Ovis aries: one gene and its partners. The protein of the gene in region 1 purifies or fractionates together with the protein of each later gene. This does not show direct contact. Links are inferred from orthologs where the notes say so. Each region holds a gene or a part of one and is shown in the gene's direction. Other genes may lie near its edges. The genes, in order: SNIP1, PNN and NKTR.

What was found.
Region 2: the proteins of SNIP1 (region 1) and PNN purify together in Homo sapiens (affinity purification with mass spectrometry; 4 studies listed by BioGRID and IntAct, counting the BioPlex papers as one, with this or other methods). This does not show direct contact. The link is inferred for Ovis aries from reciprocal best matches to the Homo sapiens genes SNIP1 and PNN.
Region 3: the proteins of SNIP1 (region 1) and NKTR purify together in Homo sapiens (affinity purification with mass spectrometry; 3 studies listed by BioGRID and IntAct, counting the BioPlex papers as one, with this or other methods). This does not show direct contact. The link is inferred for Ovis aries from reciprocal best matches to the Homo sapiens genes SNIP1 and NKTR.

Annotation. Positions count from the first base shown.
Region 1 is NC_056054.1:12,368,488-12,372,136, reverse strand, and holds part of SNIP1 (smad nuclear-interacting protein 1), read left to right. Parts: intron 1-433; coding exon 434-536; intron 537-3,649. UniProt on the Homo sapiens protein: Required for pre-mRNA splicing as component of the spliceosome. As a component of the minor spliceosome, involved in the splicing of U12-type introns in pre-mRNAs. Down-regulates NF-kappa-B signaling by competing with RELA for CREBBP/EP300 binding.
Region 2 is NC_056071.1:46,897,331-46,901,079, forward strand, and holds the start of PNN (pinin), read left to right. Parts: upstream 1-1,255; 5' UTR 1,256-1,335; coding exon 1,336-1,448; intron 1,449-2,102; coding exon 2,103-2,174; intron 2,175-2,550; coding exon 2,551-2,619; intron 2,620-3,416; coding exon 3,417-3,489; intron 3,490-3,605; coding exon 3,606-3,700; intron 3,701-3,749. UniProt on the Homo sapiens protein: Transcriptional activator binding to the E-box 1 core sequence of the E-cadherin promoter gene; the core-binding sequence is 5'CAGGTG-3'. Capable of reversing CTBP1-mediated transcription repression.
Region 3 is NC_056072.1:14,760,563-14,764,211, forward strand, and holds part of NKTR (NK-tumor recognition protein), read left to right. Parts: intron 1-586; coding exon of another isoform or gene 587-601; exon of another isoform or gene 602-646; intron 647-1,264; coding exon 1,265-1,410; intron 1,411-3,103; coding exon 3,104-3,649. UniProt on the Homo sapiens protein: PPIase that catalyzes the cis-trans isomerization of proline imidic peptide bonds in oligopeptides and may therefore assist protein folding. Component of a putative tumor-recognition complex involved in the function of NK cells.

The DNA of each region.
Region 1 (3,649 bases):
TAGTAATCAAGGAGAGTGGTAGGAATGACATTGGAGAGCGAGGAGACAGAGCCAGAGACTTTGCTGATAGATCGTGATTGTGTGGGGAAGGAGCATGGAGGGCTGTTGGTCGAGGGGAGAAAAAGAATCAGGGTGACTTCTAGGTTTTTTGCCTGAGGAACAGGGTGGATGGTGGCACTAATTATCCAGCTGGCAGAAAACAGAGGAAAGTGTCTTGGGTGGTTGGGAATCTAGAGTTGCTATCTAAGTGAGAAGTTCTAGTAGGCAGTTACGTATGTGGAAGACATAGGACCAGAAAAGTGAAGCTCCTGATTCTTTTAGTGTGATCAGCAAAGACATGGTGTTTGTGTTAGTTGGATATGCCTGATGCTTGGAGCTGTTTTGTATGAGGGAATGAAAGTTGAGATAAATGTGTGTACCATTTTCTGAACAGGTCCCCAGCCAAAAAGAAAAACAAATCCTCAGGGAGAAGAAGCAAGTCTCCCCGGAGTAAGAGAAGCCGAAGTCCTCACCACTCAGCAATCAAAATAAAGCAGGTAAGTGGACTGAGATGTTTTCGTACTGGCTCCAAACCTAGAGCCTCTCCATCATAGCTAAAGTGGTGTGTGTGTGTTTTCCTGTACCTGCAGTGGGCTTCTCCAAAAACTGGGCTTTTTTTTTTCTTTTTTCTTCTTTCTTTGTTAAACTTTTTATTTTGAGATAATTGTTGATTCACATGCAGTTGTAAAAGGTAATACAAAAGCCACAGTTTGTCCCAATAGTACCATCTTACAGAATTATAGAACAATATCCCAACCAAAATGTTGACATCAGTTCTGTCAAGATACAGAACATTTCCATCACCACAGGATTCCTCAAGTAGTTCTTTTATATCACACCCAGTTCCCGCCTACCCTTACCCCTCCAACTCCTGGCAGCTTCTAGTCACTTCTCCATTTCTGTTATTTTGTTTCCTCAAGAATGCTATGTAAATAGAATCACACAGTATGTAGCCTTTCTGGATTGGCTTTTTCCACTCAGCTAAGTTCTTTTGGAATTCATTTATATTGTTGCTTTTGTCTGTAGTTCCTTCGTTTTTATTGCTGAACTGTAGTCAATGGTATGGATTTAACCATTTGTCCATTAAAGTGTATCTGGGTTGTTAGCAGTTTTTGGCTATTAGACATAAGACTGCTGTGTATACATTTCTGTACAGGTTTTTGTGTGAACATAGGTTTTCGTTTCTCTGGGATAGATGCCCAGGAGTGCAGTTTGTAGATGGTATGGTAGGTGCTTTTTTTTTTTTTTTCCTAAAACATTAATAAATTGTTTTCCAGAGTGCTGTGTTAGTTTGCCAGGTCTTCCATAACAAAATACCACAGACTGGTTGCCTTAAACAACGGAATCTAAGAGGCTAGAAGTCAGAGATCAAAGTTTCAGCGGTTTGGTTTCTCCTGAGGCCTTTCTCCTTGGCTTGCCTTCTTTGTTGGGTCCTCATAGTCTTTCCCTCTGTGCTCGCCCATCTCTGACTCACATCTTCTTTAACCACATCAGCCATATTGGATTAGGGGCTTACTCATTTTAACTCAATCAGTTCTTCAAAGACCTTACCTGCAAAAAATCTGGTTACAGTCTGAGGTGTGGGGGTTGAGACTTCAGTATGTAAATTTGGAAGGGGCGCAATTCAGTCCTTACAGTGGCTATCCCTTTTTATAATGTGAGTGATCCAGCATTTGGTATTGTGACCATTTTGACCATTCTGATAAGTGATAGTGATACTGTGATTTTAATTTGCATGTCCCTGGTGGCTAATGACGTTGGGCATCTTTTCATGTGTTTATTTGCCATCTGTGTTTCCTCTTAGGTAAAATGTCTCTTCAGATCTTGTGCCTATTTTCTAGTTGGATTGTTTTGGGTTTTTTTACTACTGATTTTTAAGAGGTTTTTTTTTTTTTGGTAATATATTCTTAGATACCAGGCCTTTTTGGAGTGAGAGGTTTTCCAGTATTTTCTTTCCGTCTGTATCTTGTCTGTTCATTTTCTTAAAAGAGTTTTCCTCAGAGCAAAAGTTTTTGATTTGTTTGGAGTCCAGCTTGTCTGTTTTTCCTTTTACAGATTATGCTTTTGGTGTTATGTCTAAGAACTTCCCTGACCCTAGAACCTGAAGATACGTTTTTCTTTAATATTCATTTAAGTCCATGATCTGTTTTGAGTTTGTTTTAATCTAAGGAAGGAGCCTTAAATCAAATTTCCTTTTTCGCCCCGTGGATATCCATTTACTCCAGCACTAGGTGTGGAAAGACAATTTTTCCTCCCTTTAATTGCTTTTGCTTTGTCAGAAATCAAAAGTGTGTGTGTGTGCCTTTATTTCTGGGTCCTCTGTTCTGTGCCATTGATCTGTCATTCTGCCAGTACCACAGTCTTGATTACTGGAGCTATATAATAAGTCTTAAAATTGAACAGACTGGTTCTTTCACTTTCTTCGTTTTAAAAATTGCTGGGACTTCCCTGGTAGGCCAGTGGTTAAGACTCTGAGGCATAGGTTTGGTCCCTGGCTGGGCGGAACTAAGGAGGCACATGCCACAGGACATGGCCAAATAAATAAATAATTGTTTTAGGAATTCTCGTGCCTTTATCTTTCCACATACATTTTAGAACAATCTTGTTTGTATCTATTGAAAAAACTTGCTAGTATTTTGATTGAAATTGTGTTAAACTTGTACTTTTTGAAAAATTTTAAAAAATTATGTAGCGTCTTCCAGTCTTTGAATATAGGTGTATCTCTGTTTATTTAGATCTTTGATTTCTTTTATCAGTGTTTCAGTGTACAAGTCCTGTATGTGTTTTGCTAGATTTGCACTTAAGTAATTTTTTTAAGTTATCATTAAATGATGGCTCTAGTCCATGGGGTCGCTAAGAGTCGGACACAACTGAGCAACTTCACTTTCACTTTCATGCATTGGAGAAGGCAATGGCAACCCACTCCAGTGTTCTTGCCTGGAGAATCCCAGGGACGAGGGAGCCTGGTGGGCTGCCATCTATGGGGTTGCACAGAGTCAGACACGACTGAAGTGACTTAGCAGCAGCAGCAAGTGATATTTTGAATTTCAGTATTTACTTGTTCATGGCTAGTACATAGAAATATGATCCATTTTTGTATGTTTATCTTACACCCTGTGGCCTTACTGAACTCATTTATTTGGCCTAAGTAAATCCCAACCTAAAACTTGGGATTTTCTGCATAGATAGTCACGTCTGCACAGGGGCAGTTCTGTCTGTCTTCCTTTCCAGTGCATGTTCATTTTATTGCCCCTTGCTGCATGGCTGGGACTCTCGCACTGAGTGGAGCAAGAGCAGTCAGATCAGGCTCTCCTGCCCTGTCCTCATTCCTGAGGGACAGGCGTTCAGTCATCGTCTTGTGCTCTTTCCTCCAAGTTTTATTTAATTTTTGACAGTGCTGGGTCTTTGTTGCTGTTGTGGACTGGAGAATCCCAGGGACGCGGGAGCCTGGCGGGCTGCCGTCTGTGGGGTCGCGCAGAGTCGGACACAACTGAAGCGGCTCAGCAGCAGCAGCAGTGGACTTTCTCTAGATGCAGTGAGCAGAGGCGACACTCTTGTTGTGGTATGCAGGCTTAGTTTCCCTTGTGGCGTGTGGAATCTTCCCGGACCA
Region 2 (3,749 bases), on another chromosome or scaffold:
ATATTCCCAAGTGCCTAAGGATATGGAGGCCTGGTGGCAATCATTGACTCAACAAGAAGAAAAAGTCCTATGCTAATTAAGACTCTCAAAATACTCCAAAACTCTGTGCTGTTTATGGTTGAGAGGTAGTAAACAATCATGTGCCTAGTGGCAGCAGTAAGGATAATCCTGTCACACAAGCTAGTCTGTCAGCAGAGAGGTTTGACCTGAGACATCCCTGTCCCACCCAGAGCAGGGAATTAGTAGCAATTATTGACACAACAAATGAAAAACCCTTCACCAATATAATTCCTAACCAACTATACTAATAATTTCTAACTCCCCAAAAGATTTGCCTTTAGTAAGTCTAAAACATCTCATGCCTCTCAGGTTAGGAGGCTGTAGACAATCACATGTGGCCAGACGAACCTATACAGGTGGGCTAGATAACCTTCAGAGGAGTCCGTAAGCTGAAACACTCTTGTCACGCCCAGGAATTTTTATTGCTTTGGAGCTGCACGTTTACTCCTTCTCAGAGAGAAACGGTTATGGGGGAGAGCCCCCCGTAAAGTCAGAGGTGTAGGTGAGAGCATAAAACCGACTCTGGTTTTGGGGTTAGATGCTCGGGAACAGGGGGTTTCCTGAGGCTTGATCACGCCTTTGCGTATGCCAAGCCTCCTTCCTCATGACCTTTGCCATGGGCGGAATTCCTCACGCTGCCCCCGGCAGGGGATAATGTATGTAAAGTGTTTCACAGAGTACAAAATAACTGTTAGCTATTAGGAGGAATGACTTTTCTTTCACTCTCTTCCCTCCGCTCTTTTAAGGTTTAACCTAATCAAGAGAAGTCTGCGCCCCTCCCACCGCCTCTCTGAGCATGCGCACCAACGGAATGGCCGCACCCTTTCCTAATCAAATCATTTACTGGGGGGAAGACGAGGAAATAGACTCGCTTGAACCCTACTCTGAGGGTATCAGGTGGTAAAATCATAAGAGGCACGTTCTCTACAGGTTAAAAGGGCCAGGAAGACCCCGCTCTCCTCACCAGAAGAGCTGGGCCGCGAACCCACGTCTCCGAGGACCCAGGTACTCAAACCCGCCCCAGCTCTGCGCTAGAAGCGGAGCCCAGCCACCCGCAGCTAATTGGGGAAGGAGGAGACCCCTGCCTCACTTTTCATTGGCCCAGAGTCACAAAGGCCGGCAGTTTCTCCCCCTTCCGGTTGCTGAGTGGTTGAGGCCGAAATACAACTCCTTTTGCCATTGGCCGAACCCAGCTGTCAGTCTTCTGGCGTCTTGCGGCGCGACACAGGCAGGCGCGGCCTATAGAGCAGTCTCGAAGCCTGCTGCAGGGAGAAGATGGCGGTCGCAGTGAGAACTTTGCAGGAGCAGCTAGAAAAGGCCAAAGAGAGCCTAAAGAATGTGGATGAGAATATTCGCAAGCTCACCGGGCGGGATCCGAATGACGTGAGGTAAGGAGTGGATGGGAAATGCTGGCTACCAGAGGCGGCCGTGAAGCCGGGGTGAATTGGGGGCGGGGAGGGCGGTCAGCCCTGAGAAGACTGGAACATCGAGGCCTGTTCGCGGGCAGCCGTGGGACCCTGTCCTCGGTGAGGTGGGAATTTCCAAGGCCTTCAGCGTTAAGTCCTGGGTCTTGGGTGCGTGAGGAAGGAGAGCGGAGCCTGGGTGCGCCGGGATGGTCTCCGGTCCTGTGGGAAGGCCGGGACTGCCGATTCCCGCCCTCGGCCCCGCAGGCCCGGAACTGCAGCACAAAGCCTTCCTCCTTCGCGGGCCACCCGATTCAGGGCTGGCCCTGGGACCTTCCGGGGACGCGGTCCGCTGCCTCACCCTCCGGCTCTTGCCCACGTGCAACTTTCTTTGGGTTGGTGAAATTTGAACCTGACTCAGGCCTGTTAACGTGTAGTGGTGTTAAGATAAATACAATTTTGTGAAACTGGTCTTGGGAAAACGAGGAAGTTAGTAAAGTGCTTATTGCCGTGTTTCGGGTTTGAAACCGTCATCTTGAAACTTTTCTGTTTATTTTCTCTTGATGGTGAACTGCACCCGTTGAAGTGTTTGGTGCTGTTAGAAACGATTGTTGAACTGATTTGTAAATTATTTTGTAGGCCCATCCAAGCCAGATTGCTCGCCCTTTCTGGTCCTGGTGGAGGTAGAGGACGTGGTAGTTTATTGCTGAGGTAAGATTTCCTTAAAATTTAATCTATTGGTACTGTACTAAATTAATGAATCGGTTTAAACAAATTTCTTGCTAGAGCCAGTGTTAAGAAAAGTTTGATTTGAAGCTGTGATTAGCTGTAGTTCTCTGTATGGTTAATTTACATACAGCTAGAGATTGAAGAATACGGTAACTATATCAGTTATGTGCAAACTTAATATATTCTCATAGATCTAAAAGAAATGCTATAAGAACATCCATCTTGAAGTAAATGTCCATTTGAGGTTACTTTATTTGGAAGAGGAGTTTTTAATAACAGCAACTAAATTATCTTCTTAAATAGAAATAACCATTTTTCTTAATTTTCATATGCTTTATGTTGGACATTTTTATTGCAGGCGTGGATTCTCAGATAGTGGAGGAGGACCCCCAGCCAAACAGAGAGACCTTGAAGGGGCAGTCAGTAGGTATGTTGGAGGACAAGATTCTGAAAGCATACTTTATTTTATGAGGTAGAATGTAAATATTTAATATTGTTGAATTGAGTTGTATTAGGATTGAGTAGTATATCACTTACTCTGAGTCTTTTCACTTGGTATTTGACTGAACTGAGATAGCCAGTATCCCTCAAAACTCAGTTCTTCATGGCAGTAACAGAAATCTTAGCACATGGAGAAGGAAATGGCAACCCACTCCAATATTTTTGCCTGGAAAAGTCCATGGACAGAGGAGCCTGGCAGGCTGCAGTCCACGGGGTTATATGACTGAGCACGCATGCATGATAGAGATTGGAGGGAGATGGGTTGGTAGCAGTAAACTGGTAGAACTAAAAAAAGAAAGCACAGTAAAGGTCAGGAGAAAGATAAGATGGAGGAGATTGTCTGTCTGTGTTACTTTCCTGTCTTATACTACAAAAGCTTAACTGGGTTGAGAGCTGCTGCTGCTGCTAAGTCACTTCAGTCGTGTCTGACTCTGTGCAGACACGACTGCGGCAGCCCATCAGGTTCCCCTGTCTCTGAGATTCTCCAGGCAGGAACACTGGAGTGGGTTGCCATTTCCTTCTCCAATGCAAAAGTGAAAATGAAGCCGCTTAGTTGTGTTTAATTCTTAGCGACCCCATAGACTGCAGCCTACCAGGCTCCTCCGCCCATGGGATTTTCCAGGCAAGAGTCCTGGAGTGGGCTGCCATTGCCTTCTCCCTGGTTGGGAGCTGTAGGAGATCAAAGTTTGAATTGGCCTTTTAAAATTCCCTTTCCTATGTCAGGCTGGGAGGGGAGCGTCGGACTCGACGAGAATCACGCCAAGAAAGCGACCCAGAGGATGATGATGTTAAGAAGGTAATTGAAATTAAAAGAACTTCATAGAGGGTGAATATAGTATTTTCACCTTACTACATTTAGTAGAGTGCTACCTGTATGTTAGTTGAATTACTGAGATTTCTTTTCTCCTGCAGCCAGCTTTGCAGTCTTCAGTTGTAGCTACCTCCAAAGAGCGCACGCGCAGAGACCTTATCCAGGATCAAAATATGGATGAAAAGGGAAAGCAAAGGTATCTTAAGTATCTTTCTGGAGGAAAACAACTCTTGTTAAATAATGCA
Region 3 (3,649 bases), on another chromosome or scaffold:
GCCTTGTTCACAGTCCAACTCTCACATCCATACATGACCACAGGAAAAACCATAGCCTTGACTAGACGGACCTTTGTTGGCAAAGTAATGTCTCTGCTTTTGAATATACTATCTAGGTTGGTCATAACCTTTCTTCCAAGGAGTAAGTGTCTTTTAATTTCATGGCTGCAGTCACCGTCTGCAGTGATTTTGGAGCCCAAAAAAATAAAGTCTGCCACTATTTCCACTGTTTCCCCATCTATTTGCCATGAAGTGATGGGACCAGATGCCATGATCTTCGTTTTCTGAATGTTGAGATTTAAGCCAACTTTTTCACTCTCCACTTTCATCAAGAGGCTTTTTAGTTCCTCTTCACTTTCTGCTATAAGGGTAGTGTCATCTGCATATCTGAGGTTATTGATATTTCTCCCAGCAATCTTGATTCCAGCTTGTGCTTCTTCCAACCCAACGTTTCTCATGATGTACTCTGCATATAAGTTAAATAAGCAGGGTGACAATATACAGCCTTGACATACTCCTTTTCCTATTTGGAACCAGTCTGTTCCATGTCCAGTTCTAACTGTTGCTTCCTGACATCTGAATGCAGAGTTCCAAAGAATAGCAAGAAGAGATAAGAAAGCCTTCCCCAGCGATCAATGCAAAGAAATAGAGGAAAACAACAGAATGGGAAAGACTAGAGATCTCTTCAAGAAAATTAGAGATACCAAGGGAACGTTTCATGCAAAGATGGGCTCGATAAAGGACAGAAATGGTATGGACATAACTGAAGCAGAAGATATTAAGAAGAGGTGGCAAGAATACACAGAAGAACTGTACCCAAAAAAAAATGTTTTTACCTGTAGGCAAATCCTAGCATTAATCTTAGGTATAGTCCAAAGTCTGTCCAAGGAGCTAGTTGTATTCTCTTAGTTAATATGTAGTTATGCAAAGGCACTGCTGTTAGATCAGTGTTTACTGCTATGTTTGAATGGGTTTAAATATTGAAATGAATGTGAAATAGTATGTTCAAAAATCTTAGTATGTTGAATAAGCTAATGAGTATAATCATTAGGACTTCTAAGGAAAAGTTTGTGTGTGATTATAGGTGAATATCTGCTTTTCCTATTTCTTTTAGTTTGATTTAACTTTATACCATCATTATGGTACTTCAGTCATTATTGCGTTTGAATGGCATCCAAGATTGAGTCTTATACTTAGCTGTCCTATAGCAGATTACAGTTGGGAAGTATTTTTTAAATAGTTATTCCTAACTTTGTTTTTAAAGCGCTATCACACACCTCCAAGATCAAGATCCTGTTCTGAATCAGATGATGATGATAGCAGTGAAACTCCTCCTCACTGGAAAGAAGAAATGCAGAGATTAAGAGCATATAGACCACCTAGTGGAGAAAAATGGAGTAAAGGAGATAAGTAAGTAAAAGTACAATCCTTTCTCTGCTGTATTTTAAGTCTTAAGGGGATAGAGACATACTTCTGGTTTTTTCACTAAAGATTTATATTTAAAATTAGATTGTGACCAGAGAATACATTTGGGAATGCTTGATGAAATGGAAGGAGGGATGATTGGCTTTGGATACTTTTAAATCAAAATTCTGTTTTCTCTCACAAGAGCATTACCCTACTGAATTTCTTAAAGATTTCTTGTTTAATTTTAGCAATAATCAGGACTTTATTTTTAAAAATTACGTAGCAGATTCTCTCATAGCCTTTTTTTTTTAGTCACTAATGGTAGATAAGAAAATTTGTAGCCAGTGTGTGTGTTAACGTCTGACCCTAGGGACTATTGCTTCTTCAGCAGTGTACCCATCTCTTGTCTTCAGTGACACTCCACAGTGGATTATCTATTTTAAAAGTGGGGCTGGCCCCAGAATAGCTAGTGCAAAATATATCAGTGGGACCCTGTGTAGAATTGTCTTTCTCTGTGGCCATCCAGCGGAATGGTTCAGAGTTCAGAGAGGGAGGACAAGGTGTGTGATGTGCTGTGTGCAAGCGGTATGGATATGGTAGCTCTGAGAACAGTTTTGAGCCCTGACATTAGCACTGATATTGTAAAGCCTGCATCTTAGTTTTCGTGTACTTTTCTCCCAATTTCTGTACTAAGTAGTTTAACTAAAACCTTAATGAAAAGTCTATGATTACCTCTATGATCCTGAGATAAAACAATAGTCATGCTAGTTTCTTAAAAAGAGGCAGGCCTCCCTGGTAGCTCAGTGGTAAAGAATCTGCCTGCCAGTGTAGGAGATACGGGTTCAATCCCTGATCTGGGAAGATCTTACACGCGTTGGAGCAGCTAAGCCTGTGTGCCACAACTATTGAGTCTGTGCCTGGGAGCCGCAACTACTTAAACCCATGTGCACTAGAGCCTGTACAAGAAAAGCCACCATAATGAGAAGCCCACACACTGTAACTAGAGTAGCTTCCACTCGCCACAACTAGAGAAAGCATATGCTGCAACAGTGAAGACCCAGCACAGCCAGAAATAAATAAGGTTATTTTTTAAAAAAAGAAAGAAAAAGAGGCTTGTCAGGAATTCCCTGGTGATCAGGTGATTAGGACTTGGAGCTTTCACTGCCAGGTCCCAGGTTCCATCCCTGGTCGGGGAACTAAGATTTCACAAGTCATGCAGCCAAAAAAAAGGAGGCTTCTCTTAAAGTTTTGGCAGTTATCCTATATCTACAGAGAATCAGCAAATTGTTTGGGAACTTGATTTGACTCCCTCAGAAATTATTCCTGAAGGCAGAGCATTATTGAGCAGATCAAAGCCAGGAATTTGGTAGGTCAGCAGTGCTTTTGTAATTAGTTGGTTTGCTTTTCAAAACTATTTCCTATCAAATTTGAAAATTCCTGATTTGACTTTGGAAAAATCCTTTTGTAAGTGAATCTGTTAATAGTTATTTCTTTGAAGTTTTATAATTTCAGGACCAGGCCTATCAACTATTTGCTTTATCCTTCCTACGTGTGCTTAAAGCATTAATAAGAGTTAGTACTTGGTTGTTAACTAGGCTTTTGTTGATGCCTAGTATTGACAACAAATGTGTTTTAATTTTAAAGGTTAGAAAACATGCTTGTAAATAACTGCCTGCATATTATGTCCTTTTTATAGGTTAAGTGACCCCTCTTCAAGCCGATGGGATGAAAGGAGCTTGTCCCAGAGATCCCGATCGTGGTCCTATAATGGATATTATTCAGATCTGAGTACAGCAAGACACTCTGATGGTCACCATAAAAAACGCAGAAAAGAGAAAAAGATTAAGCATAAAAAGAAAGCTAAAAAGCAGAAACATTGCAGAAGGCACAAACAGACCAAGAAAAGAAGGATTATTGTACCGTCTGACATAGAATCCTTAAAATCTTCAACCCGACGAGTGAAATCTTCATGTGATAGAGAAAGGAGATCTCATTCTTCCTCATCGTCATCTCATCACTCGTCCAAGAGGGATTGGTCTAAATCTGATAAGGATGACCAGAGCTCTTCAACCCATTCCAGCAGAGACTCATACAGATCAAAATCTCACTCTCAGTCTTATTCTAGAGGAAGCTCAAGATCAAGGACTGCCTCAAAATCTTCATCACATTCTCGAAGTAGATCAAAGTCCAGATCTAGTTCTAAGTCAGGGCGCCAAAGAACAGCATCAAAATCACCAAGAAG